3 linked regions of the Mus musculus genome follow. The protein of the gene in region 3 interacts with the protein of the main gene of each other region in a biochemical or structural test. Links are inferred from orthologs where the notes say so. Each region holds a gene or a part of one and is shown on either strand. Other genes may lie near its edges. The genes, in order: Uxt, Pink1 and Fbxo7.

Region 1 (10,774 bases), on a different chromosome or scaffold from region 3:
AGGAAGAGGGACAGGAGGTATAAAAAATACCAAGGATGACTGAAAGGTTATAGGGAAACACTATTATATGTTTACTTAAAATACATATAAAATACACACACACACACACACATTTAAATGAAGTTATACTATTTGGGGTGATAATGCTCTCTCCAAAAGCTATAGACTATTTAACAAAACCCCCAGTGGCAGGAATAGCTCAGCTGGCCTCCAATTCAAGATCCTTCTGCCTGGACTATTGCAGAGTTGTTGGTCAGGGTAATTCAAGAGACTCTCAAAACAATATAGGCAATTGATGTTGCTCTTGGTTGCCTCCCAGAACCTGAAGGTAAGACCACTGCTGCAAATACCACATTCCTTAGTCATAAGACTTAGGAGGAATCAAGCTGGAACTAACCTAGAAGCCTCTTCCTTGGAGACTGGCTATCATAGGTGCTATGCAAGATGCCAAGGGAGAGGATCAATCCAATAGTCCTAGCCAACTGTAGAGCCATGAACCACAACAATGATCTGACTAGCAAGATATTACTACCTAGCCAACTACCCATGGCTAGAGTGCTCATAGACCTGAGAACCTAAATTAATATAATTTCTGTTTTCTAAAACCATATCCTTTTACTCACAGATAAATGTAGCTGTCATCCCTCATTTAAAAACCTTCGTTTTGGAACAGATAGGGACTATTACAGAGATCCACAACTGGTCAAAATGCAGAGAATAAGTGACTGTGAGGTGCCTGACCCCAACTGATACATCTGTAGTCCAACTCCTATACCTAAGGGTCAGGGAAAATCATAGAGAAAGGCTGGAAAGACTTTAAGAGGAGGAGGCCCAGGATGTCTGCTGTTAAGATCATGATGGGGAAACTGTACCCATGAATGCCCACCAATATGGTTGCCTGAATAAGACCAGCATGACAACAGCAGTTGACATGTCCACGTGGAAAGGGGAAATTACCATGGACCTACTTTAGATGAAGGACTACAAGTGGTCAATGTCTGCTGAAAGAGGGAGAATCAGTCTCAATGCCAAGTTGTCAGCCCTGGATACATGTTCATAGAAGCAAAGCTAAATGGGCTCAGCAGATTATATCTACATGTGTGATACATACATACATACATACACACGTATACATATATACACATGTAACAACAATAATCATCAAAGAAATACACTAAAAACAATAAGTACCTACAGGCAATTTTGGATACATGAAATAACCAGACGTATGCTAGTTTGAAGTGGATCCCAAGTAAGTAAGTTTTAAAGAGAGAGTTCAACTATACAGACTCAAATCCTAATCTAGGATGATGAAACTTTGAGGTAGCTCTATTAGTTATAATAGAGCAATATGAGGTCAAGCACACATTTCATCACACTGGTAGAAAGCAGTTCAACAGATTAGAAAGACCAGGCAAGGAGTCTGTTAACTTCAAATACCTCATATATGTATGTATGTATGTACATATATATATATATCAATTCTCATTAAAAACAGAAATAAAACAAACAAACAAAAACCCCCTGTGACATAGGAGGAAAACATGTGATAAAAATTGGACTTGTAGCAGGGCATGGTGGCACACACCTTTAATTCCAGCTCTCAGGAGGCAGAGGCAGGTGGATTTCTGAGTTCAAGGCCAGCCTGGTCTACAAAGTGAGTTCCAGGACAGCCAGGGCTATACAGAGAAATCCTGTCTCAAAAAACCAAAAAAAAAGAAAAAAAAAGTGGGACTTGTTCTAAATGTCCATAGTTCAGCATTACAATGACCTTGATCAAATTATAGTTTGATCAGCAAAATTTAGAAATCTTAGCAGGTTTCAGGTCTACTAATACTAAAATCTCTGGAAAGCTTAAGAGAAGAACTACTGGAACCGTACAGGCGACAACTCTAGGAACGAATCCAGGAATGATCATTGCAGGTGCTCATACTTGTGAGTGGTTATTTATCTAAGGGAGTACGTTCCCTCATACTCATTTTTCCTAAGCTATGTCACATGTGACAGTTTTTCAAGCCTGCCAGACACACTGTCCCTTTTGTCAAGAATATTCTTCCCCAGATAGCTCATGGCTTGATTCACCCAATAAACTGACTCAAATGTCACTTGTCTGAGAGTGGGAGTTTGAGGCCTTCTGTGTGGCCTCCAGTACCTACGTATTATGTGTATGGATGATTTGCCTGCATGTATGTCTGTATAGCACTTGTGTGCTTGGTGTTCAGAGGCCAGGAGAGGGAGTCAGATACCCTGGCACTGGAATTATAGAAGCTTGCGAACTGCTATGCAGGCTCTGGAAATAGAACCTGGGACTCCTGAAAGAGTAATAAATGCTCTTCACTGCTGAGCCATCTCTTTAACTACAGCACTATCTATATTTCAAGCTTCTCACCCAAAGTAGTTCTTCCCTACACAAAAACAAAACTTGGAGCCCACATTTTCTCTACTCACCACTACCCACATAGATAAGTTTTGACCATCCCTTCATTTGTTTCTAGCATAATTCATTCAAAAGAAACTGTGCTTTACACTATTTTAGTTACCCACAGTATAAGCTTTTTCCTTTACACTGCCTGTAACTTGGGCTAGGGACATAGAGTTCAGTAATAGAGCTCTTGCTTACTACACAGGAGACCTTGGCTTCAAGTCTCAGCCCTGTAAAAAACTGTAAGTGATACTTATTATCTGACTGTAAAAGACAATGAGCGTGAGAAAGAAAGGCATTTCACAGTACAATTTAACAGGTACTAAGATGGTAGATAGAGAAAAAATTAGAAGATGGCTGGTATGATAGCTCAGTGGGTGCTTGTCACATGAGCCTGGGGATCTGAGTTCCATTCATGGAGTCCCTGGAAGGATAGCATCAACTCTACAAAACTATGCTCTGATCTACACATGGATGCTATAGCACATATGTCCACAGACATGCACATATACACACTAATGGTCATTTTTTTAAGTAGAAGGGGGTGCAATTCAAGAACACTAGGAGTTGCAATTTTGAAGTTAGATCACAGAAGAACTTGTTCAGGGAGCTTGTTATTTATGCAAGACAATCAAGTATTGAGAAAAGAAACCACATGGAGAAAGTGCTGCAGAGCAGACAGACACCAGTAGCTACTGAATGCTCCCAAAGGTGGGAAATGCTTAAAGCATGTGTTAGGGCTAGGGAGGTGGCTCAGTGGACAAGAACATTTGCTGCTCAAGCATAAGAATGGGAATTGGATCCCTAGTACCAATGGAAAAACTCACACACCTCTGACCCCGGCATGGGTGCTTGCTGAAGCCAAAAAATGGCAAGCTTTAGGTTTGGTGGAGACCCTATTTCAAGAGAAATAAATAAAGCAGACAGCAATAGAGGAAGGCATTGTCTCTGCATGTGTGGGTACAGGCACATGAAGTTCAGAGAGGGGAGAGACCAACAAATGAGCAGGAAAATGAGCAGATAGTTAAGTGAGAAGCAGCTTCTTAGACTGTTAACTGATTCTTAGGTTGAAATCTCACGGATGTGGTCACAGATGTATGTACATGAGATTTCAACATAGTTCTAGAAATGTAAGCTTCTAAGACTCTTCTGTTGTTTACTGCTATATTCTCAACATTAACCACAGAACCTGGTATACATAAGATACTCAATAAATGTATGAAGGAATAATATAAAAAGTACTTATTGAGTGTTTAGTATGACACCCTGGCTGAACTTTGCATCCTCAGTTTTCTTAGTCTGAGCCCCGAAGAGGAAGGTAGTATGTTTTTCTAAGTACCATCCCAGGTAGCCACAGGGAAAAGGGTAGAGTATTAAAATTTGTGATGTCTATTTATTATTTTTTCTGTTTGTTTTATACACAGAGATTTGTTTTATCACCCAGAGTTGCTTCAAATTCATGATCCTCCTGCTTGATTCTCTAGAATCCTGGGATTACAGGTGTGAACTACCATATCTGGCTTTTATATATTTTGTGTATGTGTTTGTGTGATGTGTGATATGGATAGAACCTAGGGCTTCACACATGCTAAGCAAATGTTCTTACCACTTCCCTGTACCCTTAGCCAATGTAGTGGCTTTAGATACTATCCTCTTGGAATGCACTCACTCTGTGAGGAGAGAACTCTTTCGGTCAATGAACTTGAGTGCTTCAGCCAGTGTCAGTTCCAGGAAAAAACCATATCCCAGGGCCACATAGATGCGTGAAGTATCTGGGCTGAGGAAAGAGGTCAGAGGAAGTGGAAGAAGTCTTTATTACTATTTAGCACACTGTATGGTTTAAGGTGTTTCCTATTCCTTCCTGTTTCTCAAAATGAAGGCTCTGTAAAGGCAGATACTTTGTGTTCATTTTGGCCACACCCACAACATGTTGCTCATATCCTAATGAAATATAAAAGCTACTAGAGCCTTGTATATAGAAAATACTAAGAAATACTTGTTCCATGAAAAAAGGGAGAAACTCAGGAGGGGAGAGAATATACTCACACCACTGTGTCAACGAAGAAGTTACAGCCCAAATCCACCTGCATATATAACTCCGAGTGATTAGTTTCCTATAGGGCCAGGAGAAAAGAGGTAGGTGTCAGCGGGCAATTTTAAAGGCAGATAAGGTTTTGTTCTTGGGGTTTCTTCCCGCCTCCCTTCTTTGTACACATACACAAAGTGGTACCCAATTTAAAAACCTTTACCTGGAGTCGCTCAATGACATTTCTTAGTTGAAGATATACGGACAGCTGCTCATATACCTTGTCTCGATGATCCAGCACCTTTCTGATATGTAGAAATACAACAGTGAACATTAGGCAGCCTTATTCCTCTTGAGATGCCAGGCATTTTAAGTCAGGTTGTGGTTGACATGGATGTAATTCATGGGCTGAGGCAGGAGGATTCTGAGCTCAAGACCAGCTTGTGCTACATCGTGAGATCCCGTGCTCCCCTCCTCCAAAACACACACAATGGGGTATAGACAGAGACACAGCAGGCATTTCAATAAATACAGGTCAGACTGTAGTTCAGCCTGACCTCTACCTCTTACTAGGAATGTGACTATGGAAAGTAGAAAACCTACCTAGGATTAAGTTTCTTCACATAGAAAACAGAGATGGCCGTAGTAGCACATAAGAGTCATTAGAATCGAGTGTTTACTACAAAGTGTTTTAAATGCTAGCCAAATGGTAAGCATTATATACTTGTTACCTATTATAATTATAAATATTACATTTTATTCAGTGACTTATGCCAATTAAAATGTCCCATCTTCACCCTAAATGTACCTCTCCATCTCTTTTAGCATGCTCACACAGTCCTAGTTCTAAATACCTAACTTTCTATTCAGATTAGTAATGACAGCAATAGCAATCATCCAGTTGTTGAGTCTTTAGTGTATTTCAGGCACTGGGGTCAAATTCCTTTCCTAAAACAACTATTTAGGTTATTTGTTTTATTACCCAAGACAATATCTGAGTTTCTCAGGCTAAGTATTGAATTTGTAAACACACCAAACAATTCTTTCCTCTCAGCCTCAATATAATAATAGTGGGGTTTATCTGCATTTTTAAAATGTGTTCTTACTTGCATTTATGTGTTTATTTTGTGTACATGTATGGGTGCCATGATACATACCTGGAGGTCAGAGGTCAGGTTTTTGGGAGTCTTTCTTTCTTCCACCATGTGGGTCCCAGAGATCTAACTTAGGGCATGGGGTTGGAGGCAAGCCATCTTGCTGGCCCTAGTTTGCTTGTTTTGAGACATAATCTCAAAGCCCAGGCTATACACAACCTCGAATGTAGGTGAAGATCACCTTCAACTCTGGGTCATCCTGCTCCTGACACTATCCCAAGTACAGCAATTGCAGGCCTGTGTCACCACACTGGATTTTTTTTAAAATAGAATATTGTTCTATTTTCAAGGCTGGCTTGTAATCCTGGCTAAACAAGTGAATTTTCCCATCTCTCCACTAGAAGTGGCACACACCATGGAGCTTGAGCCTGGCTTTATTCTATTTTTTTCTCCCTTTGAGAAAGTTAGTCTGTAGCCCAGACTGGTTCTCAGCTTTACAAAGATCCTCCTGCTTCTGGCTCCCAAGTGCCGGAGTTGACACATTTAAAACTCAAACACCACGTTAAGAAGGCCTAATAAACTTTTCCATTTCACAGATGAATAAAGTTCACAAAGGTGAAGTAAGGTACAACTTGTTCATAAATATTGGTTAAATGGCCTAGTCAGAAACACCCTGTGTTCGGAATGACTATTTTAAACCAACAAACAAGGTCAGAGCTCTGCTAAAGGGACAAGTTCCAACCACATCTCAGCCCAGAAGTCAACCCTATTCCCAGAAGTCTGGGCGGCCAATCCGAAAGTTTGGTCGGCATTCTGTCCCACCCACCACGTGAAATTTCTCAAACGTCACGCCTCCCACGTTGTCACTCACTGCAAGTCTCGCTGCAGTACGTCACTGATAAAGGTCTCGTACCGCAGCACTTTCTCCCCCACCGTATCCAAGGCCCGCCGTTTCGGGGGCGTCGCCATGACGGGCACCTGGGGGAGTAAAGGGGGGGGCACGTTGAGCGCTCTATTTAAACTTCACAAAATTCTCTCCAGCCACTCAACGTTGGGGATGACTTCTTTCGGCTCGAGCTACGGAGTTGCTTCTGCCCAACCCGATTTTGGAACTCGTTCACTCACCGGTACAGGAGTACGGCGTTTACCGTAGGGCCACCGGCAATAACTGTTAGTATGAGCCGCGGCTTCCGGGTGGCGCGGATGGATGATGTAATTTCCAGCAAGGGAGCCAACCAAATCGATGGGAGGGGCGGTCCGGCGTGTGGGAAGATGCACTTAGGGGAAGGGCTGCAGGCGGGGCCTGAGTGAATCCTTGGAGGTAGCAGGATCCTATGGATCTAGATGGGCCTGGCACGCCGCGGTCTGCCAGCAGGCGGATCGTCGCGAGCTGGCGGGAGACTGGTTTGGGTGACGTTCAATGAGATTTGGCGGGTTCTGAGGGAGGGTGGACTTACAGGAAGGTAGGGAGAGGGAGTTAAGTGTTTATAATTAGTAATTTGAAGTGTGTGTGTGTGTGCGCGCGCGCGTTGGTACTGAACTTATAGGCAGTTGTGAGCTACCATGATGTGGGTGCTGATAATGGAGTTTACATTCTCTGCAAGTTTTATGTGTTTTTAACTGATGAGCCATTTCTGTATTCCCCCCTCCTTACTCTTACATTTGTTTTCCTATTTTATGTGTTTTGTCTGCATGTTTATGGACTACATGCGTGCATTGCCCACAAAGGCCAGAAGAAGTTGTGGGATTCCCTGGAACTGGAGCAACCAACAGTTTGTGTGCACCATGTGGGTAATGGGAATCGAACCTGGGTCCTCTATAAGACTGGCCAGTGCTCTTAACTACTGAGGTATCTATATAGTCCCTATTTTTTTCTTTTAGAAACATTTCTATTCTTTGAGAGTTTCATAGATGTATGCAATATATTTTCATCATCTCCACTCCCTTTTCCCTCCAACTCCTCCTAGACTCCTCCTACCACATTTTCCTCCAATTTCATATTCTCTTTAAAACAAACAAACCAAATCAAAACCAAAAGAACTCACTGAGACCACTTAAGCATTTAATAATTTTAAAAGCACAAGAGTGCCTATAGACCAGCAAGGATTATGGTACTAATCTATAAGGAAGGCAGTATATCCTGTGGGGATCTGTTTGAAAAAAATATATGTTGCACACATTGTTTGGTTTTCACCCTCCATAAAGGGAATGAATAAGAGCACATAAAAATGTTTAAATGGAGACAAATTTTAAGAAATTTATCTTGAATGAATTTCTGCTTGGTGGCATGCAGTCCATGATGAGGGCTACAGAGAAACCTTGTCCCCCAAACCAAAACCAAAATTTGATGTTACATGTATTTAAAAGTAAATTTGATGTGCTTAAAGCAGATATTAGGAAGCTATATAATATTAGTTAATCTTTATTTGCTAAGGAGAACAGTTTAGATAGACTAGAGTTGGGTCTGTTAAGTTTATTAACATATTTCATGTAATTTTTCTTTAATTTAAAAGATACTTTTAGGTTATCCAAATGGCTCACTGGTTAAACGGTGCTAACCAGTCTGACAGCCTGAGTTCACTCTGCACGGCGGCTTGTAGGTTACTGCTGTTCCTGACATAGAGATAGCAAACTTCTTTTTTACAATGGGAGGTAGTTACTAAAGAAGATTCATAACTGGTTCAACTGCAAGGAATGTGTCTGTTGCTGTGGTAGAGCTGCTCAAGGTGGTAGAAAGTAATAATCACCTATATTATTCTAAGTCTTAGAGAATAGAAGGCAAAGTGGGAAGAATGTGAAAGCTGCAGGAAGGGAGCATTGTCTCACGATTTACACTGTTGGGCATGACCATTGCTATTTTGAATAAGAGCAGATGTGATCACTATTCATCAAACATTTACCCCTTCCATACATAGTTCTGAGCATTTTACATATATCAACTCATTGTGTTCCTCTGAGGTGTCTGACTGTGTAGCACAGTTACACATAGTCTGGACTGCTTTCCCCATGTCCAGACTAGAAAGAAATATAACCAGGGTTTCATTTTCACACTTCAATCTTGGTCCATCTAGAGTATGGATATATGTAATAAGGTATGGGCCCAATTTAATATTTATCTACAGCTTTATTTTTCAGTTAGAGTCTTGTCATATAGCCAGGCTGGCATTGAATTCACTGTCTAGTCCATGCTGGCCTTGAACTTAAAATCTTTTACCCTAGCCTTTCAACTTCTGGCATTGCAGATGTAAGGCACCAAGTCAAACTTAATCTGTTTGCAAACGTCTGTGTTTAACGGGTAGAATGATGTCTAGATATATAGCCACAGAATATGTTTGAAAAAATTTTACATATATAATTAAGGATCTTGAGGTGGGGGGTCATTCTGAGTTAAACAAATGGCCCCAAACCAATGAGAATTTTTTTTTTTTTTTGGTTTTTCGAGACAGGGTTTCTCTGTGTAGTCCTGGCTGTCCTGGAACTCACTTTGTAGACCAGGCTGGCCTTGAACTTAGAAATCCGCCTGCCTCTGCCTCCCAAGGGCTGGGATTAAAGGCATGTGCCACCACTGCCCAGCGAGAAATATTCTTATAAAACAAAGAGAAAGACATAGGAGATGGTGTGAAAACTGAAAACTGGCAGACATTAGGGTCATTGTTATTATTTATATACGAGATGTCTTCTCTAAAGGCTCATATGCGTTATGGTTGATCCATCGCAGGTGACAATATTGAGAAGTGATTGATCATGATGACTTCTTCAATGGATTAATTCATTGATAAGTTTATAGCTGAATTGCTCATAAGAAATGGAGCCTACTTGGATGAAGTAACACCCCAAGGGCATGTGTGTGTGTGTGTGTTTATAAACAAACACACACACACACACACACACACACACACACACATATATTCCTATATCCATTTTTTTCTGTTTTTTGGCTGCCATGAGATAAGTGGCTTTTCTCCATGATGTCCTTCTGCCATTACTTTCTGCCCTGCTAAGAGGCCTAAAAGGGGGGAAAAAAAAAGACCCCAACCAAGCTGATCTTGGAAATGCGATATCTGAAATTTTTTTTTTTTTTTTTGGTTTTCTGAGACAGGATTTCTCTGTATAGCCCTGGCTGTCCTGGAACTCAACTTTGTAGACCAGGCTGGCCTCGAACTCACAAATCTGTCTGCCTCAGTCTCCCGAGTCTAGGATTAAAGGTGTACGCCACCACACCCGGCTAGGATGTCTAAAACTTTGTGATCATAAAAAAGTCCTTCCTCATTTGTTCTTTTGTTAAGTCTAGTCACAGCGATGAAAATGATACTAGCATGGTAATATGTTTATAAATTAAAGGGTTGAGGCCATAACTTAGTGGTAGAATGTTTACCTAGCTTGCATGATGCCCTGGACTTGATTTTTGGAACTTCAAAAATACAAACTGAGGCATATCAATGATTGCTGCTGTCCTTAGAGAAGGTAGGAAAGAGGCATAGAATAGATTTTGAGTAGAAAGGGAATAGAATACATTTTCTTCAAAAAGGCTTGGCTCTATGATCTCATGAGTTTGGACTTACAGTCTCCAGAACTATAACAGAATAGAATTTATTGGTTTAAACCAGCCAGTCTGTGGTAACTTTTTACTGCTCTCTTAGGAAATGAGCATATTTATTTGAAAATTCACCTTTGTCCATCATGATTTGAGATGGCATTTTAGTTAGACACAGACTTCTTTACTGACATTTTACACGGTTTCAATGGCTTATATATTCATGGGTCATGAGTGCATGGTCTTACTGTTTTGGTTGGTTTTGTTTTTGAAATATAGTATTGCTATTTAGTATATATAGGCTATTTTTGAACTTAATATGTAGTTGAGGTTTTGAACTAGCTACCCTCCTTTGCCTTTTTAAAAAAAAAATTTTGTTTTGTTTTGTTTTCCTTTTTTATTAGATATTCATTCACATTTCAAATGCTATCCCCTTTAATTGTTTAGTCCCCTGTACCCTTCCCCCTCCCCCTGCTCCCCAACCCACTCACTCCCAGCTTCCTGGCCCTGGCATTCCCTTAACTGTGGCATATAATATTTGCAAGACCAAGGGCCTCTCCTCCCATTGATAGCCGACTAGGTCATCCTCTGCTACATATGCAGCTAGAGACACGAGCTCTGGGGGTACTGGTTAGTTCACATTGTTGTTCCTTCTATGGGTTGCAGACCCCTTTAGCTCCTTAGGTACTTTCTCTAAC
Region 2 (10,600 bases), on a different chromosome or scaffold from region 3:
GAGAAGGTTAAACGACGCTTCTAAGGACGATTATATACTTTACCAAAAGTCTGATGTCTTGTGTGCATGGAGGGAGAGGACTGTGCAGAGACAGAGATGCCCACAGCAGGAAGGTAGAGCGGGCATGGGTCCCGTGGCCTCCCCAGCACCCCTCTGTCTTTTCATTTCTGCTTCCGAGCAGATCAAAGCTTATCCAGGACATGGCTGCTGTTTCATGTGCTCTGGATGAAAGGCTCTCCCGTATAGAATATTAAGCTTGCAGGGTTCGTGACGTGGGACTCTCAGCAGAAGGCCATATCCCACGTCCCCACTTTGACCTTCATGAGTACCAATGCCAAGCTGGGAGACAGTGTAGGGGGACTATCTGCCCGCTGAGACAGCTGGTGTCACAGAGAGGTTTCTCTCATAGGACAGATGGGGCTGGGGAGATAGCTTGCTGAGTAAAGTATTTGCTGCACGGGCACGAGGCCTTGAGTTCAAATCCCCAACGCCCACATAAAGCTGGGGGCAACGGTGAATGTCTGTAACCCCAGCATTGGGGTGATGGGATAGGGACAGTCCGTAAGCCGAGCATTGGGAGTGACAAAGTAGGGACAATCTGTAAGCCCAGCATTGGAGTGACTGGGTAGGGACAGGCAGATCCCCAGATCTCACTGGTCAGTCACTCCGGGCAAATGGGTATGCTTCAGTTCAGTGAGGAACCATGTCTCAAAAATAGACAAACGAGTAAGTAAATAAATGCAGGCGGGAACAGAGGAAGACGGGTGATGTTGCCCTCTGGTCTCTATGTGCACGTATGTGCATACGGGGACACATACCTCCTCATAAATTAAAAAAGGAAAAAACAGAAGAGAAGGGGTGGGAAGGGATGGAAAGAAAGGCATCTCCTAGACCCCTGTCAGAGACAGGTGAGAGCACAGAGGCCCTCCGTCCCTGCCAGAAGCTTCTGTGTGCAGACATCACTTGCCTGCCCTTTCTATAAGATGCCTGCCCAGGAATCGGGCTTCATGCTGTGCTCGGCTCAGACCTGTCAGAAGCAACTAAGGCTTTTCTACAGAAAAAGACGTGGACACATCCAATTTACAGCAGCAGGTTAATTAACCTGGAGATTCCATTTCCAGCGGGCTGGTTATGTATCACAGTCTAGCGAGACTGCCTGCGATTTAGGAGAACAAATCCCGAGGCTTATAGCAAACTCGCTCCTGCGCTCCAGATTCCGCTCAGTGCCCTCATCACAAGCCTCACCGCTGAAGGATTATGTTACAGGAGATTAGAGAGCACATCCTGCCGGGTGTGGGGCTTAGCGGGTAGACGCTAACCTATCACAGATGAAACCTTGGATTCCATCTCCAGCGCTGTGTACCGAGACTGGGTGTGGCAGAGCATACATAATCCTATAATCCCGGCACTGGGGAGGTGGAGGGGGTAGGAGGAGCTAGAGGTCCAAGTTCATCCTCAGCTACCGAACGAGTTTCAGATTGGCTTGGGCTACGTGAGACCCTATCTCAGAATACTCACCACAAAATGTTCATTGAAATATTATACTCAGGATAAGCAGTGGTGGTGTGTGCTTTTAATCCCAAACGGGCAGGCAAATCTTTGTGAGTTTGAGGCCAGCCAGTTTACAAAGATGGTTTGGGACAGCCAGGGCTATATAGAGAAGCCCTGCCCACCCACCCCACCCACCCCCAAAAAAAAAGAAAGGAAGGAAGATTGTATTCAGGGGTCTGGGATTCTGTGGTAAAGCGTGTTGTGGGGCAGGACAGAAAATTGCACTGTGCATCTCCAGGTGTACAGTGAGTGAAATGAATTTTCGATGTTGTCGAGACAGGGTTTCTCTATGTCGTCCTGGTAGCCCAGGAACTCGCTCTGTAGATCAGGCTGGCCTCGAACTCAGAGAACCACCTGCCTCTGCCTCCTGAGTGCTGGGATTAAAGGTGTGCGCCACCACTGCCCTGTTGCAGTAAATCTCCAACCCAAATAAGCCTGCGCAATGAAAACACAACTCAATTAATATGTACAAGCTGTGTGCCTAGATTGGGCAGATCTACCGCTACTATATTCCCCAGCTATGAGATCCCTTATAGCTTATTGCGGTTTCTACAGGCCAAGTGCTTTTTGCTCCATTTTCCTTCCACCTCCTCCTCTCGTTCTCTCCAAAACTTTTCAGCTCCACCTTCCCTTCCCCTGTTCAATCATCAGCTCTAGCCTTTATTTTACAAGTTAGTATGGGAGAAGGGTCATGTGAAGTCACGTGAGTATGTGATTCACTCCTCATCCCAGGCCGCCCCTCTCTGGGAAGCAGAATTAGCATCAAAATACAAACAAAACGAGGGCAATCCACAACGCTGCCTGGTGAGTAAAATGAATTTTTTATCACGTAAACATATAGATCATGAATGAGGTCACGAGCATCCAGAAGTCCCTTCACATTCCTCTGGTAGCTGCCTACCCAAGGGACCTCAGGGCCATGACCCTTAACACTAGAGATCTGTCTCACTCACTTGCCTTCGTACAGTATGTAAATGGGAGAACATCTATCCTTTTATTCTTGCCTTAACTCCTTACAGTGTTTATAAAATGCAGGTGTAGCTCTGTGGGTTGAAGGCCATTCTGCTCTACATAGCAAGTTTTGAAAAAGTTAAAATAATAGATCATGGTCACTGCTGTATTTGGCAGCTGTCTCTTTTTACACCCCAAGAATGATTTACTTTGCAATAAACTCTATCTTCTATTGGACACACATACATACACACACACACACACACACACACAAATGGAGCAGAAGATAAGAGACTTTAGGAGAAAATATAAAATGGCTATTTGCTGACAATTGTTGAAGCTGGATTGAAGTAGAAACTTAAGGGTTCTTTGGAAAGTCAGTTGTGTTGGATGCTGTTTCACTGGGGCAAACAAATGAAGAAACATTTGCTGAAGTGGACACAGGTGAAGGCTAAGAAAGACTTGTGAGGGAACATTTTCCCCCGAAGCAGACACAGATAAAAGGATGTTCTGCTAAAGCAAACATGTGAAAGTGCACGTGACGAAGGACTCGTTGCTAACAACACACATGTATTGGTCCGCCTTACATCGCAGAGTTGAGCTCCTTTGTCGGAACTCCACAGAGAGAAATGCACCAAAACACTTCTGATGGTGTGCTGCAGTTTCTCCTTCTTCTTCAATTAAGATTTACTTATTTATTTTATATATTCATCATTGCTCTCTTCAGACACACCAGAAGAGGGCATCAGACTCCACTGCAGATGGTTGTGAGCCACCATGTGGTTGCTGGAAATTGAACTCGGGACCTCTGGAAGAGCACTCAGTGCTCTTAACCACTGAGCCATCTCTCTGGCCCATGCTGCAGTTTCTTGCAGCTTCCTGGGACTCAGGATGATTGGCGGAGTGATGTCAGCTGAGACAGACACATGTGCTGAGACAAGACACGTGGCAGTGGCAGGCATGTAATGTTTGGAGGGAATATAAATAGGACTTCACATACAAGGACAAAGGCGGAGCTAGCTTATAAAGCTAGCTGTGCAATGCTTGGTGGTCTCTGAGTCTTCCCATCTCTGAGAGAGGCACAGATGAGAACTTCTGGTGTCCCCTCCTATCCCTCCTGCTGACTAGTGCCAAGGCTGAGGCCTGGCTGTCTCTGCTAGGTAGTGCCACCGTTGCTGATTCATGTTTGCTATCCTGACTCTACTGAACTGGACTGTGCTATATCTGTGAAGTGTTTGCGAGTGGATCAAGCTGCCACTGTCTCCTGTGAACTGAACTGCCGATTTCCAGACAACACAGATGGAGTTGCTCCAAAGAACCTTTCTAAACAGGTCCACTTCCTTTCTTTCCCACTACCTTGTTAATAGCGTTCTCACGCCCGGCCAGGAAGAACACAACAGACCAGAATCTTCTGCGGCAAAACTTTATTGCTTACATCTTCAGGAGCTAGGAGCGCAAACCCCCAGCCCCAAAAGCGAAAGCCCCTTCTTACATCTTTAGGAGCCAGAGCTCCGGCGCGCCAAAGCGCAGAGCGCGCTCTATTGTTTACATCTTTAGGCAGCGAGAGAGCGCAGGGCGCGCAGAGCCAGAGAGATGCCAGCGAGAGAGAATGGCGGAAAACCCGTCCCCTTTTTAGGAGAGTTATATTTCGCCTAGGACGCATCACTCCCTGATTGGCTGCAGCCCATGGCCGAGCTGACGTTCACGGGAAAGGCAGAGTACAAGTAGTCGTAAAATACCCTTGGCACATGCGCAGATTATTTGTTTACCACTTAGAACACAGGATGTCAGCGCCATCTTGTGACGGCGAATGTGGGGGCGGCTCCCAACACTACCTCTGGTGGGTAGTGGGTTAAAAGAGAGGTTAAAGCATTGAAGAACCATCATTTAAAATAGGCTTTGAAGGCTGGGCAGTGGTGGCACACGCCTTTAATCCCGCACTTGGGAGGCAGAGGCAGGTGGATTTCTGAGTTCGAGGCCAGCCTGGTCTACAGAGTGAGCTCCAGGAGAGCCAGGGCTATACAGAGAAACCCTGTCTCAACACCCCCCCCCCCCAAAAAAAATAGGCTTTGAAAAAAATTAAAAATTTCACTGGATGACCAGTATTTGGTATTATGTGATTTTACACACACACACACACACACACACACACAAAATTATGCTTAAGTCAGAGACAAGCAAAAAGATTATTCAGCCTGATGTGGTGGTATATACCTGTAATCCCCACACTCCAGAGGGCCATCCTAGTCTACAGGAAGAATTCCAAGCCAACCAGGGCTATGCAAGGCCTTGTCTCAAATAAAGTAAAATAAAATGAGTAAAAATAGTAACAGGGTTAATAACCTTATTATCAGCTAGCTATTCGTAACAAGCAGTTTAAGTCATAGGGATTTATTAAGCATCTGGGTGGCTTCTGGTTAAGTCTCCCAGTCAGTCTCAGACCTCAGCTCCTGCACCCACTGGTGCATAAATTATGGCCTTTGGTCAAGATTTCCCTCCAAGATCTAAGCCCCGGAACCTCCAACCTGTCTGTACAGGAGCATGAGAGCACTTGGGAGTGGGGGAGAAGAGCCAAGGTCTTCCCTCGATAGCCAGGGCAGTGTGAACTTCAACCTCAACTCTAATACCTGCAAGCAATCTGGAAACACCACAGTCGCTTATCTACAAAATTGGCACTCATATCATGGGGGGGACAGTCAAACTAGCTAACAGGTGTAAAGGGCCTGGATCGGTGACTGATAACAAATATTAGTTTCCTGGCTCAACGTCTCATCTTAACCAGGACCAGTGAAGTTGTTCACAACCCCTCGACCTGGGTTCAAAGTGCAAACCAGCTGCACCAAGGGATGCAGGGATGAGCGGGTAGCGCCCCCGCGTGCTGCGCAGGAGAACTGCCGGGGACCGCCCCCCGCGCTTGCGCACAGGCGCCGCCCCCGAAGTTTGTTGTTGTCCCAGACGTTTGTGGCGGTGGCAGCTGGCTCCGGTCACCGCGCCACCATGGCGGTGCGACAGGCACTGGGCCGAGGCCTGCAGCTGGGTCGGGCGCTGCTGCTGCGCTTCGCGCCCAAGCCCGGCCCGCTGTTCGGCTGGGGGAAGCCCGGCCCCGCGGCGGCCTGGGGCCGCGGAGAGCGCCCAGGCCAGGTCGTAAGCCCCGGAGCACAGCCTCGGCCGGTCGGGCTCCCCCTCCCGGACCGCTACCGCTTCTTCCGCCAGTCGGTAGCTGGGCTGGCGGCGCGGATCCAGAGGCAGTTCATGGTGCGGGCCCGGGGCGGCGCAGGCCCTTGCGGCCGAGCGGTCTTCCTGGCCTTCGGGCTGGGGCTGGGGCTGATCGAGGAGAAGCAGGCGGAAGGCCGGAGGGCCGCCTCGGCCTGTCAGGAGATCCAGGTGAGAGCGGCGGTGGGCGGGAGCGCCGGGAGCGGGCCGAACCGGGCCAGAGTGTAGCCCTGAGGCCAGCCGGGCCGGGGCGGGGCCTAGGCCAGGAGGAGGCGGGGTTAGGAGAGTGAGTGATCTGGGTGGGGCGGGGCCAAATTGGACAGCAAGGGCGGAGTTAGTTGGATAGTTGTTGGGGCAGCCTCAGAATCCTAGTGGTGTAGGGGCGGGTCGTGAACCAGGGCGTGGTAGGAGCCTGGGCATTGGGAAGGGCAGGTCTCTGAGCCGTGATTGGGCAATTTAAGGGGGTGGGGTACTCGTGGACCAGACTGAGTGGCTGGTGGCATCTTAGTTATGTGTCTAAGAGCATGAGGACATGCCTAGACCTTGGGGGGGGGGGTAGGTAGATCAGGGGATAAGGCAAAGATTAAAATCTATCTATGACTTGGACTATACATTTCTTGGAATTGATCTGTTAATTAAGGCTGACCTATTTCCCATTACTGATGGCCTGATATGCCGACACTTTGCAAACAGTATGGTTTAAAAGCTGCTGATTATTGGTCTCTGTTGCACTGTAACAAATGGCTTTGAGTAAATTTCTTTTCTTTTGGGATGCATAAAAGGGGGACAGAGCCTTGATTTGTATATGTAGCCCAGGTTTGTCTTGAACTTTTTTTTTTTTTAGTTTTTCAAGACAGGGTTTCTCTGTGTAGCCCTGGCTGTCCTGGAACTCACTTTGTAGACCAGGCTGGCCTCGAACTCAGAAATCCACCTGCCTCTGCCTCCCAAGTGCTGGGATTAAAGGTGTGCACCACCACAGCCCGGCTGGATGATAACATTTGGAATGTAAATAAATAAAATATCCAATTGAAAAAAAAAAGTCACTCAGGAGGCAGAGGCAGGCGGATTTCTGAGTTCGAGGCCAGCCTGGTCTACAAAGTGAGTTCCAGGACAGCCAGGGCTATACAGAGAAACCCTGTCTCAAACCCCCTGCCCCCCCCCCAAAAAAATCAAAAGTTATCATCCCCTTTCCCAGTTTCCCCTCGGTAAACCCCCTATCCCATTCCTCCTCCCCCTGCTTCTATGAGGATGCTCCCCCACCCACCCACTCTCAACTCACTGCCCTGGCATTCCCTACACGGAGTCATCGAACCTTCACAGGATCAAGGGCTTCTCCTCCCATTGATGCCAGTCAAAGCTATCCTCTGCTACATATGCAGCTGGAGCCATGGGTCCATCCATGTGTACTCTTTGGTTGGTTGGTAGTTTAGTCCCTGGGAGCTCTAGGAGGGGGGGGGGTTGGTTGGTTGATATTGCTGTTCTTCCTATGGGGTTGCAAACCCCTTCAGCTCCTTGGCCTTGAATTTCTGATCTTTCTACCTCTATCTCCAAAGTGCTGGGATTATTGGTATGGACCACCATGCTTGATACACATCTTCTAAAACCCCTACCACTCTCATTCCTTGGTGCACTCATCATCCTAATTTACAGGGAGTCCATGCTCAAGAGAGATGAGAAGGTTTACTCAAAATCACACTGCTGATAAAAGGCAGTGCCCAAAGTTCACCCTTCAAAAGGCTGGCCCTCAGCTGAGCCAGACTGCCTGCCACTCCTGTTTAGCCAAACAGTGGGAGAGAGGCTGAGCAGAAACTGCAGCAACGCTGGAATTTCAGGAGAACACAGAAGATCTAACGTGTTAGTATTTAACCAGAGTGGAGTTATGACTGGATACATGGAAGCTCTGGAGCCTTTTAAACTCTTAAAATAGCACAGAGACCTCTCTAGTCGCACAGTTGTCTGGTCAAGGTCACCCAGACCAACAGAAACAATGGATGTGTCTATTAGAGTCTGGGACTTATTTTGAGGAGTTGGCTCAGGCTAGGTTCGCAGATCTAAAACCGGCAAGCAGGCCCAGGGAAGAGCTGGCTCTGCAATTTAAGTTCTTGGGTGGTTGGCTGCCAGAACTCAGCCTTCTTGGAGGAGAGCAGCCTTTCCCCTGGGGTTTAGAACCCCTTGCTGAGTCAGACCAGCCCCTGCATGCTTCAGGGTAAGGGCTGAGCAGCAGAGGCTTAGGCACCATGCTCTAAACCATCAATGAAGGACCAAACAAGCATTTCCTCTCCTCCCTGTTCCTAGTACTGGAATCCAGTTCCTGTGTCTTGCATAGTTATGCAGGGCAACCCTGCCTCAAACAAGCACACAAACAATAGGAAAAGGTATGAGGCCAGGTGGCAGGTAAGCAGGTGTAAAGACTTTCAACACCCTGGCCATTTGACAAGTGTGCATGGAAAATAGATGAGCTATCCATTCACACTTCCCAGAATAGCTAACCTATTGTAAGAACAATAGCCGACACCATGAGGTGGGGAAACAGAGCACTCACTCCTGGTGGTGTTGCCAATGGAACATAATACAAAATTAAATAGGTGTTTACCACACCAGCCTGTCGTTGAAGTTGTCAGCATCTACTGGGGGGAAACAGAAACAGTCACACAAAACCCTGTGTGCTGCAGTTTCTATGGAAAACAGTAACCCTAACCTCTGAAGATTAACAATAGACTCATTCTCCCTGGTAATTCCACTTCTGTATGAATATTTGGCATAATGGAAATCGTATACAGACCTTTCTGCACTGAAGCTCAAGGCTACTTACTGACTATAGCCAGGGGGTGAAGTGACCCACCCCACCCCACCCCACCCATGTCCTTCAGTGCATGAATGGATAAACGGAGTAGATACAATAGAGGGTATTATCTAGCCTTTGAAAAGGAATTCTGGCACCTGCTACACATGGATGAATCTTAAAGACAGTGTACGGCTCTAGTTCTAAGAGCCAGGCTTCTCTGCATGCCCGGACAGAGAGGGGAAGAATGGAATATCGTTCTATAGTAGGCACAGAGCCTTATAGTTTTGCAGAGCTGGAATGATGATAGTGGTTGCTTAGCAACATGATCGTTCCTAACACTGCAGAAGTATTCAAATGTATGTCAGACATATTTGACAATATGTGCTAGGCATGTTGGACCATATCTCTAGTCTGAACACTTGTGGGAGGCAGAGGCAGGCAGATCACAGAGTCTGAGGAGAGCCTGGTCTACAGAGCAAGCCAGATATAGATGTAGGGAGACTCTGTCTCAAAAGAAAAGAAAAATTACAATTTAAATATAAATCTATTTAGTGTAGTATATTGATGATGGTAGCAACATTGTTCATAATACCCCGGAACAAAAACATCCACCCGTGAGTGAAGAGACAGTAACATAAGCCATGGTTTGTATGTCCATGATGAAGTCTCCCTCCGCAGTTAGCAAGCAACCAGCTAGACATGCAGATTGGGACCTGAATGTACCTTGGGCAGCAGGCTAAATGTAGAAACTGGGGCTTAGAAAGCTGCACGCTGCACGATTCCATGTCTAACTCTTAATATGGGTCATCTGAGGATGGCACTGTGGTGGTACAGAGGTTGGAGGAACCAAGGAGCTGTGGCTACGGAGCAGCCCTGTGTCTTGACTGGGTGGTCATCACATGAGACCACATGAAGTGAGATTGTAGGAGGCTGCACACTGATGCACAGGTGTGCACGCATGCATACACATGGATACACACATGCCCACACACATGTGCATATACACATGCAAGTGTGGTTGCAGTTAAGTGTGGACCATGCAGTGATGCAGTGTGGAATGTGCTACCGCAGTATGGTATCTTGTGCTCAAAACCCTGGTTGATGGGGATCACTCTGCAAATATCTCTCCCACCCCTCGGGATTTGGGTTTGTAAAGCTATGGGCAAGGGCACACCCATTTCCATTGTATTAAACAGTTAGAAGCTTTGGTTTAAAATATAGTAGCTTCTAGGGACCCAGTGCCTTAGGAACCACAGAAGGCGTGTGTGACAGGCTGGTCCCCAGGGCTGGTCCTGGAGGAAGGGTGACCCAGTCTGGGCTTGAGTCAATAGGGTTTTGCCAGGCACAGCAAGAACGCAGATGGGGGCCTGGGGGAGAGATCGGGAAGGGACTCAGGAAGAGGGAACTGCAGAGCAAGCCCAGATATGCAGGGCAGGGGCATAGCTCAGTGACAGTACTTGCCTAGCGTAGGTAGGGCTCGAGGACCCCAGAAACCAACAAGTGTAGGCGTGCACAGCCCAGCCTGGCATAGCTCCAGGGCAAGCCACAGCTGTCCCCTAGTGACCACAGGGGATGGGTTCTAGGTCCTGTTCAGTCAGATAGCCAAATACATAGGAACCAGGTTAATAAGATGACAGTACTGTATGGACCCGTCCATATTCCTGTGAGCTGTCAGTTGTTAGTATATCACTCACAGTGCCCAACGTGGCATTACACAGACTGGAACAAATGCCATGTGACTGTTCATAGAATAATGGCAAGAAAAAAGTGCCCATACAAGTTACTTGTCTTGTTTTGTTTAGTTGTTAAAGACAAGGTCTCAGGCCAGGCATGGTGGCACACTCCTTTAATCCCAGCACTTGGGAGGTAGAGGCAGGTGGATTTCTAAGTTCAAGGCTAGCCTGGTTTACAGAGTGAGTTCCAGGACAGCCAGGGCTAGACTGAGAAACCCTGTCTCAAACAACTTACCCTCCCTCAAAGAGAGAGAGAGAGAGAGAGAGAGAGAGAGAGAGAGAGAGAGAGAGAGAGAGAGAAAGGTGAGAAAGACTGTCTTAGGCAATGAAGCAGAAGCAGGCTGCATGAGAACCCTGTATCAATGTG
Region 3 (10,852 bases):
TATCCTTTCAAAATCAGCAGAGCTAAAGCCTAATGGCTATAGAAAGGTCGAACTTGTTACCTGAACTCTAGGCAGGTGCAGTAACACACACCTATAATTCTTGTACTGGGGAAGCTAAGGCCGAAGAATTTTAGAGTTCAAGGTTAGTCTGAGCTATATGACAAGACAAAACAAAAACAAACAAACAAACAAACAAAAATTAAAATTTAAAAGACTACCTAAAAGATGTTGCCGCTCAGCACGATATAGCTGTCCCGTAGGAGGCTCTGCCAAAGCCTGACCAATACAGCTGACTGAGCACAGGGACCCCAATGGAGAAGTTAGGGCAAGGACTGAAGGAGCTGAAGGAGTTTGCAACCCCATAGGAAGAACAATAATATCAACCAACCAGAGCCCCCAAAGCTCCCAGGGACTAAACTACCAACCAAAGAGTACACATGAGGGGACCCATGGCTCCAGCTGCATATGTAGCAGAGGACTGCCTTATGGGGCATCACTGGGAGGGGAGCCCCTTGGTCCTGTGGAGGCTCAATGACCCCAGATAGGTAGGGGAATGCTAGAGCCCTGAGGCAGGATTGGGTAGGCGGGTGGAGGAGCACCCTCAGAGGCAGGGGCCAAGGAGAGGGAGTAGAAGGTTAGTAGAGGGGAAACTGGGAAGGGTGATAACATTTGAAATATCAATAAATAAAATAACCAATAAAAAAACTTTTAAAAAAGATGCTACTGCTCAAAACATTTCTATGATTTTCTTTGAACAAATTACCATATTAAAAATATTAAATATATCAAGTCTAAATTATGAAAATAATCTCTTCACTTTTCCCCATTATCCTACTTTAGCCATTTATTACTTAGTAGCATGGGACAAAGCGTGTAATTTTTAAAAAAGCATTACCCTAAACTGCTAACTACATACCCACTGAAGGCTTATCAAACCATATCCCTAAGTCCAAGAAGCTCTGGTACCCTCTGATATGAGTGTTTATCATCTTCCATGTGCGAGAACAGAAAAAAGCTAAGCATTACTTCTACGCAATCCTGTACAGGCCACTGACAAAAAAATGAAAGCAATTGGCTAAATTGCATTCCACCTCCTGTCAGGTCTGATACAGGTTATCCCTTGCTGTCATTAACAGTAACTCCCAAGAGCAATGAAATAAAACTAACCTATATTTAGTTATAAAATAAAATTCCTCTCCTCTGGTTTTGAGTCTTACCCATCCATTTATCTTCCTTTTCCACAGTTCCCTTCTATACTGAACTTGCAGATCATACAGATTCAAGGACTCCAAGCTCAGCACCCCAGCAAGGTTTCATAGTCACCCCATAAAAACCTTACAAGACAAACGGTATGCTCTTAGAATTGCTCTTAGACCTGGAATCACTACCTTCAGGCAGGCACTCTCTGAAAGAGCCAGCCTGTCAGTAAAAACAGAGTCTGGAGTCAAGTTTAAGTATGCAGCCACATATGCTTATCCATCGCACACATTGCCCTATGAAGCAGAAACACACAGAGATACAAGAATGATTTGAAAGACAAATTAAAATTACTGTATGTGGAAATTATTTTAACAATTTATGAACCTATTAAGTATTTTAATAACCACCTATTCAGAATATCTGCCTATTCTATGTCATGGATCAATGTTTAAGGCTTGCAAAAGAAATTAAATTGGGTTGATAAGAATAAACAAAAACGGCTAAGAATGGTATATGTTGTCAGTATTAATTGTTTTGTTATACAGAGAAACCCTCTCTTAAAAAAACTAAAACAAATAAAGAATCATTTCACAAAAAATATAAAACAAATAATTAGGGGCTGGAGAGTTGGCTCACTGGAAAGGCACTGGCTGTTCTTATAAAAGTCCTGAGTTCAACTCCCAGCAACTACATGGTAGCTCACAACCATTAATAATGGGGTGTGATGCTCTATTTTGACTATACACATTAATAAATAAATCTTAATAATAATGATGATAATAAGGAACTTACAAAGTAACAAAGATCACCATTAAATGTTTAAATTGCTGAACTACAATTAGCAAGGACTCTGGAATACAGACAGAAGTACAAACAGGAAAAAGAGAGTCAGCAAGGGCCCCAGGCCACATCTTCACTGGTCACAAGGTCAGCAGGTTGTGCACTTGTGTGAGTATGAAAATGGAAAAATGGGAAGGATCGGGAATCTGTACTAACTAGAGACAGGAAAAGAACAGAAAGTAAACCTGGAGAGGTAGGGTGGGACAATAAGGGATTTTTCTCCTCTGTGAAATAACACAGAATAGAAAAATTAGCGTCAAAAGAGACAGAGGTAGTACAGAGCAAGAGAATGCCACAATGAAGATGCAGGAAGCAGACAGCCTGAAAAGTAGAGTAAAGAACAGACTGGCAGCCTGTGGTATAAGAAGTCACTAGGCACAGGAGACCAGTGGTCCTCTGAGGAGCAGAAGAGCTCCTGTGGGGGGGCCATGCAAGTTAGAGTGCTAGCATATTAGTGCAGACATTCAGCAGTTTAAAAAAAAAAATGTTCAAGCAGGGCAGTGGTGGGCACACCTTAAATCCCAGTACTTGGGAGGCAGAGGCAGGCCAATCTCTGAGTTTTAGGCCAGCCTGGTCTACAGAGTGAGCAGCAGAGAATAGCCAGTACTACAGAGAAATCCTGTCTTGACAAACCAATCCAAATCAAACCAAAAATGTTCACAAAGGGCACAGTCTACAGTTTACTGATGCTAGTCATGCTGACTGGTGTAGAATTCCTCTGAAGAATCAATATACCTTATCAATTACTCTATCCCATCTCTTCATCTACAATACCCACCATACTGTCATCAGTCCAGGCATCAAATGGGGTGGCCTGTCCTTGGGATGAATCAGTCCCTTGTTCATCTGGGATGTTAGTCTGACTTGGGGTGGCAGCCAAAGAAGGTTGGTCATTATCCTGGAGTGAGGAATGCTCTGTATCTGTAGATGAAGGTAAGTTAGGTGCCGGCATGTCATCTTCAAGAACCAAACATATCAAGTCCCCAGAAACAATCCCATATGAAGCCAAGGTCTCTTCATCTCCAGTGAGGGCATCCTTGTTGTTCAATGTAATTGCAAATCGGGTATCAGAACTGCCAAGAAAGATGGATGAGCATAGTAAGAGCTACCTACCAATATTCCAAATAATACATTTGGAATACATTAAAGTACATGCTATGTTCCCAAAAGCTCTATATAATATTTTAAAAAGAAAGAAAGAAAGAAAAAGCAGGAGACAAAATTACTTGTTCTCATCAAAAGCCTGGGTCATAGACTTGTAACTGGAGCTTTAGTAGGCAGGGAGGCGAATCAGTAACCTACACTTCACCAATTCTAAAGCACAGACTTTGCAGTACTCATCATCTCTGACCATGAGGAGCTTCTTAAACTTAACACATCAACCAGTTTAACCCACAGCTTTGCTTCCAGCTTTCCATCGTGCTGGGGCTTCAAACTCCAGTGTCAGGCTGGTGCATCAAACGCCTCAGCCAACCCGCCAACCCCCAACCCCATTCATTTTTCTTAAGACACATCCATTAAAGAGACATTACTGGAGTTAAAACTATTCCTACTCCTCAGGAAATAAGATGCTCTGATGCTTGCAAAATGTTCTGGTCAACAACAAGCTGAAAACCTGCCAGGGGCCCAGGGACACACCATGTCAACCTTGGCAGAAAGGGGACTCCCCAAGCAAACAATTCGTTCTGTAGATGGGATAAGGAGCGGTCTGTTTAACAGAAATGCCAGTTTTCCCTCCCACTTTTCTGAAGTGTTTTCCAAGGCCCTATTTTCTGTCATTTTGGGGGGTCAGGTGATTTTACCAAAAATAATACAATTCCAGAAGCTTGCATATATACATATATGCAATCTTTGATCTGCTTACTAGAAAATACTCTTTAAGAATAACAAATGTGTCACATGAACACATTTTAAAGCTTCTCTTCTGTTCCCTAAATGAACAAAATTTCAGAGAAATGAGTTTACTTTCACAAGCTGAGGCTTAAATTCCATCCACCTAACCAACTGCAACTGTGAAAACAGCATGCAAGAGAAACAGAGCTCTTGGGTTTCCAACCCTTTCAAAACTGCCCTGCTTAACTGAGAAGTAAGACTACTTGTAAATACCTTAAAAATTGAATTCTCAAAGTGTGAGGAGAGATAACTGTTATCAACATTGAAAACACTTGGTTTTACACCAATAAGTAACATGTGGGTAGGTCACCATTATATGGAAATATATATTATATATAATACAGCAACATATTTTCTTTTAATATGAAAAAATGCTCTTTTTTTAATGGTTTGGCTAACATTATTATCTTATTAGACAGGGTCTCACAATGTAACACTGGCTGGTCTGGAACTTGCTATGTAGACCAGGCTGACCTTGAACCCTGCCTCTTCCTCCAGAGCGCTAGAATAAAGGTGTAGCTCAGGCTCACTTAATGGGGGGATGGGAGCAGGGAGGAAGGGTGAAAAAATCTATTCAGGGTCTCACTTTGCTTAACTCCCTACAAATAAAGTGAAAAGGCTTATTTAAAATGCCAATTAATGGGAAACGTTTTTCTTTGAAAATTTTTCCCTTTAGAAGCCCCAGAGCCCATCTTTTTAATTTTTTTTTTCTTCACTAGTTCAAATTTCTAGCTCAGCACTTGAAGTGGGTCGTCCATACAGTTATCTCTCTATGTCCTGAAACTATCTTCTGCAGAAACACAGACGCTTCATCTGCAAAAATTAGTAATAGAACCCCATAAATTAGTAATAGAACCTAATCCTTTTTCAACTTGCCATGAAACTGTAAGCTCTCTAGGGTCATGCCTCTATTCGTGAAAAAAAAGCAACATTCTCACCCAGAGAATGCCCGCTGACAGGCGTACTTCCTGAACCCTTACAGTGAGAAAGTGAGAAAGTTACAGTTAGGTGCAGTCTGCCACTTGCACGCTCAGCTGTTTTTAAAGTTACTGTAGCCTTGGGCAGTGGCACAAATTACAGTGACCTAAGGTGTCAAGACTTTTGTCACCTTGAGCACGATGCTTTTCCGATTTAACCACTGAACTATCCCAACCGCAGAGGTAAACTCAAGTTAACACCGGGAGATTTAACGCAAGCCAAGCTTCCCGAGTTCCCTTCCCGCCCTCGGGGCCGCAGCGACCGAAACCCCGGAAGTGACTACTCACCGGGGAGGACAGCGGCACCCGGGGGAGGCTGGGCCATGGTCTCTCGGAGCCGGACCCCGGCCAGCACCCAGCTGCCGAGCGTCACAGTCACAGGCGCCCAGTGCAGCTACACCCGGGAGGCCCGGGCCTCACGTGACCGCTCGAAGCGCGCCATCCCCCGAGCCCCACGACAGCGACGCGGCTCACCTGAACCCCAACGTGGGCAGCAGGACCTGGCTGAGGTGCGCGCGCAGCTGCCCGAGCGTTGGCTCCGACTCCGGCACCTCGAGCGGCTGGGTCCGCTTCTGAAGCCGCACGCGCAGCTTCATGGCGAGAGTCGGACCGCAAGCTTCGGTCGGCCCCGGGAAGAAACCGAAAGCAAGGAGCTCCGGGCCTGCGCTCCCGAGGAATCCCCAGCGCTCGCCGCTCGGTCGACTACGCCCCCTAGAGCCTTCCGCTCGAGCGGAGGGCCGAGCGCCTGCGCTTCCCTATCGCTGGCTCGGCGCGCGACATCGCCACCTGGAGGCGAGGCGCGCACGGCGCAGGCGCTGGGTTTGCTTGGGCGCACTTGAGTCTCTACGCTTCTGCTTCTGCTTCTGCTGGGGTGAGCGAGTTTGTTCCTTCCCTCCCAGCAAGCAGGATCTTTAGCTCTGGAAGGAATGCTGCCAACAGTGTGGAGACATGACAGACGGCCCTAACCTGATGTCACTGGTTTCCGTGCCCAGAAATGAACTGCTCTATCCCTGTCATTAGAGTGCTCAGACCTGCCTGAGAAATAATGTACACAGGTCCCCTGTGATGACTAAAGAAAGTTAATGTGGAGCCAGGGATCCCTTAAGGGCTGTTGGATGCCTGGGAGGTACTAGAGACCTGCAGGTGAGATAAGAATAGGATAATGGCTGTGAGGATAGTAACTGCTGCCTTTGCTTCTTTAAAACTCACTATCGCTATGGGAAAGGGATGAAATGATCTTTTAATTACTATATAGCGGGAAGGTGAGAAACAACTGAGGAAAGTAAAACAGTTTTCCTGCCCAGCTTGTATTTCGTGGTAAGTTGTAATATACACCTTTCTGATGTCCAATTTAAAACCCCATCTTATCCTTAGTCCCCCTTCCCTATGGAATGCTGTTTGGGCTCTAAAGCTGCCTTCCTTCTGCTAGCAGTAAGCATAAACTCATTTTAATATAAATTTGAATTGAGCCTAAGTCTTTGGTTTCTCCCAATGGATTTGAAGGCCACAACAGTATAGCTCTTCACTTCTCACGATAAATCTTGATAAACCAGACTGCCTCCATCTCAGGCGTAAAAGCCATCTTATAGTAAAGACAAACTAGGTTTCTCAAGGATTGGGCTATGTCCCACCTGTAACCTTAGCTACAAATGGCTCTGTACTGCCCCATGCCTTTATTTTAAAAGGTTATTATGGTGACCCTGTTGTAACCACCTTGCAACCATGTCTTTGTTTCAAGAGGCTGTTATGACCAACTTGGTATGCTTATGTTCTGCTTCGGTAATACATGCCTATTTGCCTGCCAAATCCTCATCTGGAAACCCCCTACTCCTGAACTATTACAATCTTACCTTACCTATGTCCAGCCCATGTATACATACCAAGAAAAGCTTGATTAATTAATTTGGCCATGATGGTTTGGGGTTGATGGTCTTTCTCCTCGAATCTGTGGGACTGATTTTTTTTTTTCCTGTGGGATTAACAGCATTTACTTCCTTTCTTCCTTGGCGCTGCCCTTAGGAACTTGAAGCTGAAGCCAACTCCTTTAGCCCCTTCATGTTACCACAAAATTTAAAGCAGCTTTTAGTTGTTACACAGTGTCTTAGTAAAATCTTTTGCTGCATATCAATTGTCCTCCAAAGCTTACTAACCCACATCAATAAACATTTGTCGACCCACAAATTCTGTAGATTGGGAACTTGGGTACAGGGTGGTTAGGTAATTCTGTCTCAGGGTCTCTTGCCAGAGCTGCCTGAAGACTTGACTACACATATCATCAAACGATTGGCCCCAGTTTTTCACAGATTTTTTTTTTCCAGAAATCTACTTGAATGTCCACATAACATGATAATTGGATTCCCTGAGAGTAAGCGACCCAAGCATTACCAAGACAGAAACTGTGAAGTCTTTTACAACATAGCCTCAGAAGTTACATATTTATTTCCATCTTTTTTTTTTTGCTACAAGCCAACATTTTAGTATAAGAATATCAAACCAAAAGCATGAATACTGATAAATAAATCAGATTGGTTTGAGACTGGTTGTAATAGAAAACCAATCTTTATGAAAGAGGATATTCTTGAGCTGGGCAAAAAGTTTGAGACACATTCTAGAATACATGAGAAGCCACTGGAAAGTTGTGAGGGGGTCTCCAATATCACGGTCTTTAGTTCTAAACAGTGGAAATTGACTCTGGGCAACTACCCAGGAAGGGGTGAATTAAAGGGATGATATATGGCCCAGCAGATTCTAGGAAGGACTGGAGAAAACTTATAACCACACTGAAGACGTGTCCTGATTAGGAATATATCAAAGTTGGGTCTGCGGGAAATTGCTGTCACCACTGCTAGGGAGGACTGGGGAGTGACTGACCCTGTCTCTGCTACCCTCAGATTCCTTGTGGGTTTTGCTCTGTCCTGCACCAACAAAATGACAAGCTTCCAAAAGATTCTGTTTTCTCACCTTACTTCCCAATCAAGGGTCTATATGGGGTGCAATCTGACTAAGGAAGTTTGGGCCCCATACCTGAGTCCTCACTGCAAAAGAAACTGAAAATCAGAATCTGACTCCTTTTTAGGAGCTTATTAGAATTTCCCCAGAAGTGTAAGGAAGGTGTTCAAAATTTGAGAAGAAGCCATGAATTTGACAGATGTGCACTACTAGGGCCATGCTCTAATCTGAAGTATATATATGACTTATAAAAAGGGTTGGCGGGGGAACTGTTGTGGTAAATCTCCAACCCAAATATGCCCTGGCAATGAAAACACAACTCAATTAATATGAATACATGCTGTGCGCCAAGACTGGGCAGATCTACCGCTACACTACCATCTTTTCCATAGAAGAGACCACTTAGAACTTTTGGTTTCTCCAAGCCAAGTGCTTCTTCTGCTCCACTTTCCTTTTTCCTCCTCCTCTCTTTCTCTCCCAAAACCTTCAGCCCCACCTTCCCCTCTTACTCTGCCCAATCGCTGGCTCTAGCCTTTATTTTATAAATTAAGGTGGGAAGAAGGTTTACAGGAAATCACCAGAGTGCTGACTCATTCCTTGTTCGCAGCCCCTCACGGGAGAATGGAATTAACATCAAATGTAATTAGCCCCAGGGAACACCTGTAGGGCCTTAGCATTGTCTCAGGGGCCAAGGGGACTTGCTATGCTTCTTGCTATGCTGTGGATTTAATTGTCAGCACCCACAATGCTGCTCACAGCCATCTGTAACTCCAGTTCTCGAGGATCCAGTGCTTTCTTCTGGCCTCTCTGGACACCAGGCAAGCCACGTGATCCACAGACATGCAGGAAAAACACCTACAGACATTAAATGTTTTTAAACTTTAAAATAGGGAATCTGTCCAACTCATTGTAGGTGGGGTATCTGTATAGATTGTTTGGGCTTAGGTTGGGAATATAGTTCAATGGGTAAATATTAGGTCTCAAGGAAAACCCCACGCATCCCACATCCCAAAAGAGCAGGCCTACTAACTTGGTCCACAAGGACCATCTTGGCTCAGATGATGCTGGACAGTAGGATTTGCTGGCCGACTCCTTCAGCATTCCTCAGAAATTTGTGAAATGGGTCTGCTAAAAAGGAGTCATTTCCATTAACCTGCCCTTCACTCTGGCAAAAGGGACCAACTGACATATACCTGTATTTGTATATCAATGCCCATACAGGCCTTCTGGCCAGTTCAGTCCCTATTCACACATATTGTTATGCATTGAAAAGCCCATACTAGCATCCTGGCCCCTTTCAGCACTCTAAAATCATAGGCTGTTCCAGTTCATAGTTTCCCTTCCTTGGGCTACTCATCCTCCTTATAACTAGAATGGTTTTCCCATGCTCCACTACCCTAGCTCTAGCCATGCCCCATCTGGTCTTCTTTCTTCTCTCTGCTTCTGACTCTTGCAAATGCCTGTGGATCTCCTTTCTCTCTTACAATAAAAAGCCTTCCTCTTCATAACGGAGCAGACATTTGTGTGATTTCTTTGCTGTCCCTCTGATGACAGTAAAGTGCTTGCCACACATTCACAAAGCCCTGCGCTTCATCAGCAACACCGCGCAAGCTAAATATAATGGCGCATGCCTTAGTCCCAGCACTTGGGAGAGGTGGGAGACTCAGGAGTTCAAGCTCACCCCTGGCTGCTTACCAAGCCCAAACCAATTTAGGTTACGTGAGACCTGATATAAGTAATAGCCAGGCATAGTGGTGCCTGCCTTTAACCACAGCACTCGGGAAGCAGAGGCTGAGCCATCTCTATGGCTTCAAGGCCAGCCTGATCTACATTCCAGGCCAGCCAAGGAGAGCTCTTGTCTCATTCATAAATAAATAAAAAGCAGACACTGGCCACCAGGTTCTCCCAGCACCCATTAGCCCCTCCCTGTCACAGGGCCCTCATGGTTTCCCACCTCCTACATGAACTCTCCAGCCCAGGGGCTGGGCTGCTCTTCCCTATATAATCCAACCATTTTGGTTACCCACCCTCTTTGTATGTTTGGGCCTCCTGGCTGCTGCTTCTGGTTCCCCTGTGCCTCCTCTCCCTTCCCCTGCCCCTTCCACATGGCACAGGTCAGCGTGATCACTGTCTACTCTGGCTATGTCCCTGTCTCTCCCATATATCTGCAATAAAGTTCCTCCTCCATAGTGAAAAGTAGTCATTTTTCCTTTTCCTTTTTATTTCTTTCTTTCATTCAATAAATAAATTTGTTCTGTCTTAGTCTACATAGGGCATTTGTCTATTTCTTCATTCAATCACTTAGGTTAGCATGAGCTTATAAATACTTACTTGACAGTTGGCATCATAGTCTAATACTAATTCTTCATTACTGCCGCTGCTGCCCAGTGTTACCCACTGGAAGAGTCTTCCATTGGCTCTTGTATCCATTTTCCATCTCTGGATTTTTCCTTCATTTGTTTTATTCAGTTCCATTTTCTAAGCATTTTCTTACTTTCTACAACCATGAAGTGCTGTGGGTTAATTTTGAATGTTTCCTGCCCTAGCACCAAAAAATATTAACCCATACCCTATGCATGGACTAGACTACACAGTGGGTCTATAGATGCCATTGCCTTTAGACTTACACACTCCATTCCTTACAGGTAAAGTCTGTACCTTTTCCACCAAAACTCTTCAGTTATGCTATTTCGAACATTTGCAACCTCCAAAACAAAGCATGGAAGAGAGATGGAGATGATGCCAACGGGCAAGGTCATCCTACCGGACTGCAGAGTCACTTATCTCTCTTAAGAGCCAAGCAAATTCCAGGCAGCTTCCTCCAGAAGTAATTTAAAACACAAATCTGTATTGCTCACACAAATTCAATTAGCTAGTGAGGAAACCAGATGGGTTACCAGGTAACAGCATTCTTCTCTCTACCTGGCCTTCCACATACCCTGAACTGTGGGTTGCCCTTCAGCAACCTTCCTAAAGCAATAGCCTAAGAGATG

Evidence for each region.
Region 1: of the proteins of Fbxo7 (region 3) and Uxt, one has a biochemical effect on the other in vitro, tested with the Homo sapiens proteins (2 studies listed by BioGRID). The link is inferred for Mus musculus from reciprocal best matches to the Homo sapiens genes FBXO7 and UXT.
Region 2: the proteins of Fbxo7 (region 3) and Pink1 form a complex in vitro, tested with the Homo sapiens proteins (2 studies listed by BioGRID, with this or other methods). The link is inferred for Mus musculus from reciprocal best matches to the Homo sapiens genes FBXO7 and PINK1.

What each region holds. Positions count from the first base shown.
Region 1 is NC_000086.7:20,955,267-20,966,040, forward strand, and holds the start of Uxt (protein UXT), read right to left. Parts: upstream 6,713-10,774; 5' UTR 6,668-6,712; exon of another isoform or gene 6,584-6,667; intron 6,521-6,583; 5' UTR 6,512-6,520; coding exon 6,414-6,511; exon of another isoform or gene 6,410-6,413; intron 4,754-6,409; coding exon 4,672-4,753; intron 4,537-4,671; coding exon 4,469-4,536; intron 4,200-4,468; coding exon 4,092-4,199; intron 1-4,091. UniProt on the Homo sapiens protein: Involved in gene transcription regulation. Acts in concert with the corepressor URI1 to regulate androgen receptor AR-mediated transcription. Together with URI1, associates with chromatin to the NKX3-1 promoter region.
Region 2 is NC_000070.6:138,321,119-138,331,718, reverse strand, and holds the start of Pink1 (serine/threonine-protein kinase PINK1, mitochondrial precursor), read left to right. Parts: upstream 1-5,422; 5' UTR 5,423-5,499; coding exon 5,500-5,886; intron 5,887-10,600. UniProt on the Homo sapiens protein: Serine/threonine-protein kinase which acts as a sensor of mitochondrial damage and protects against mitochondrial dysfunction during cellular stress.
Region 3 is NC_000076.6:86,016,677-86,027,528, reverse strand, and holds the start of Fbxo7 (F-box only protein 7), read right to left. Parts: upstream 5,601-10,852; 5' UTR 5,507-5,600; coding exon 5,385-5,506; intron 5,376-5,384; exon of another isoform or gene 5,236-5,375; coding exon of another isoform or gene 5,199-5,235; intron 3,114-5,198; coding exon 2,819-3,113; intron 1-2,818. UniProt on the Homo sapiens protein: Substrate recognition component of a SCF (SKP1-CUL1-F-box protein) E3 ubiquitin-protein ligase complex which mediates the ubiquitination and subsequent proteasomal degradation of target proteins and plays a role in several biological processes such as cell cycle, cell proliferation, or maintenance of chromosome stability.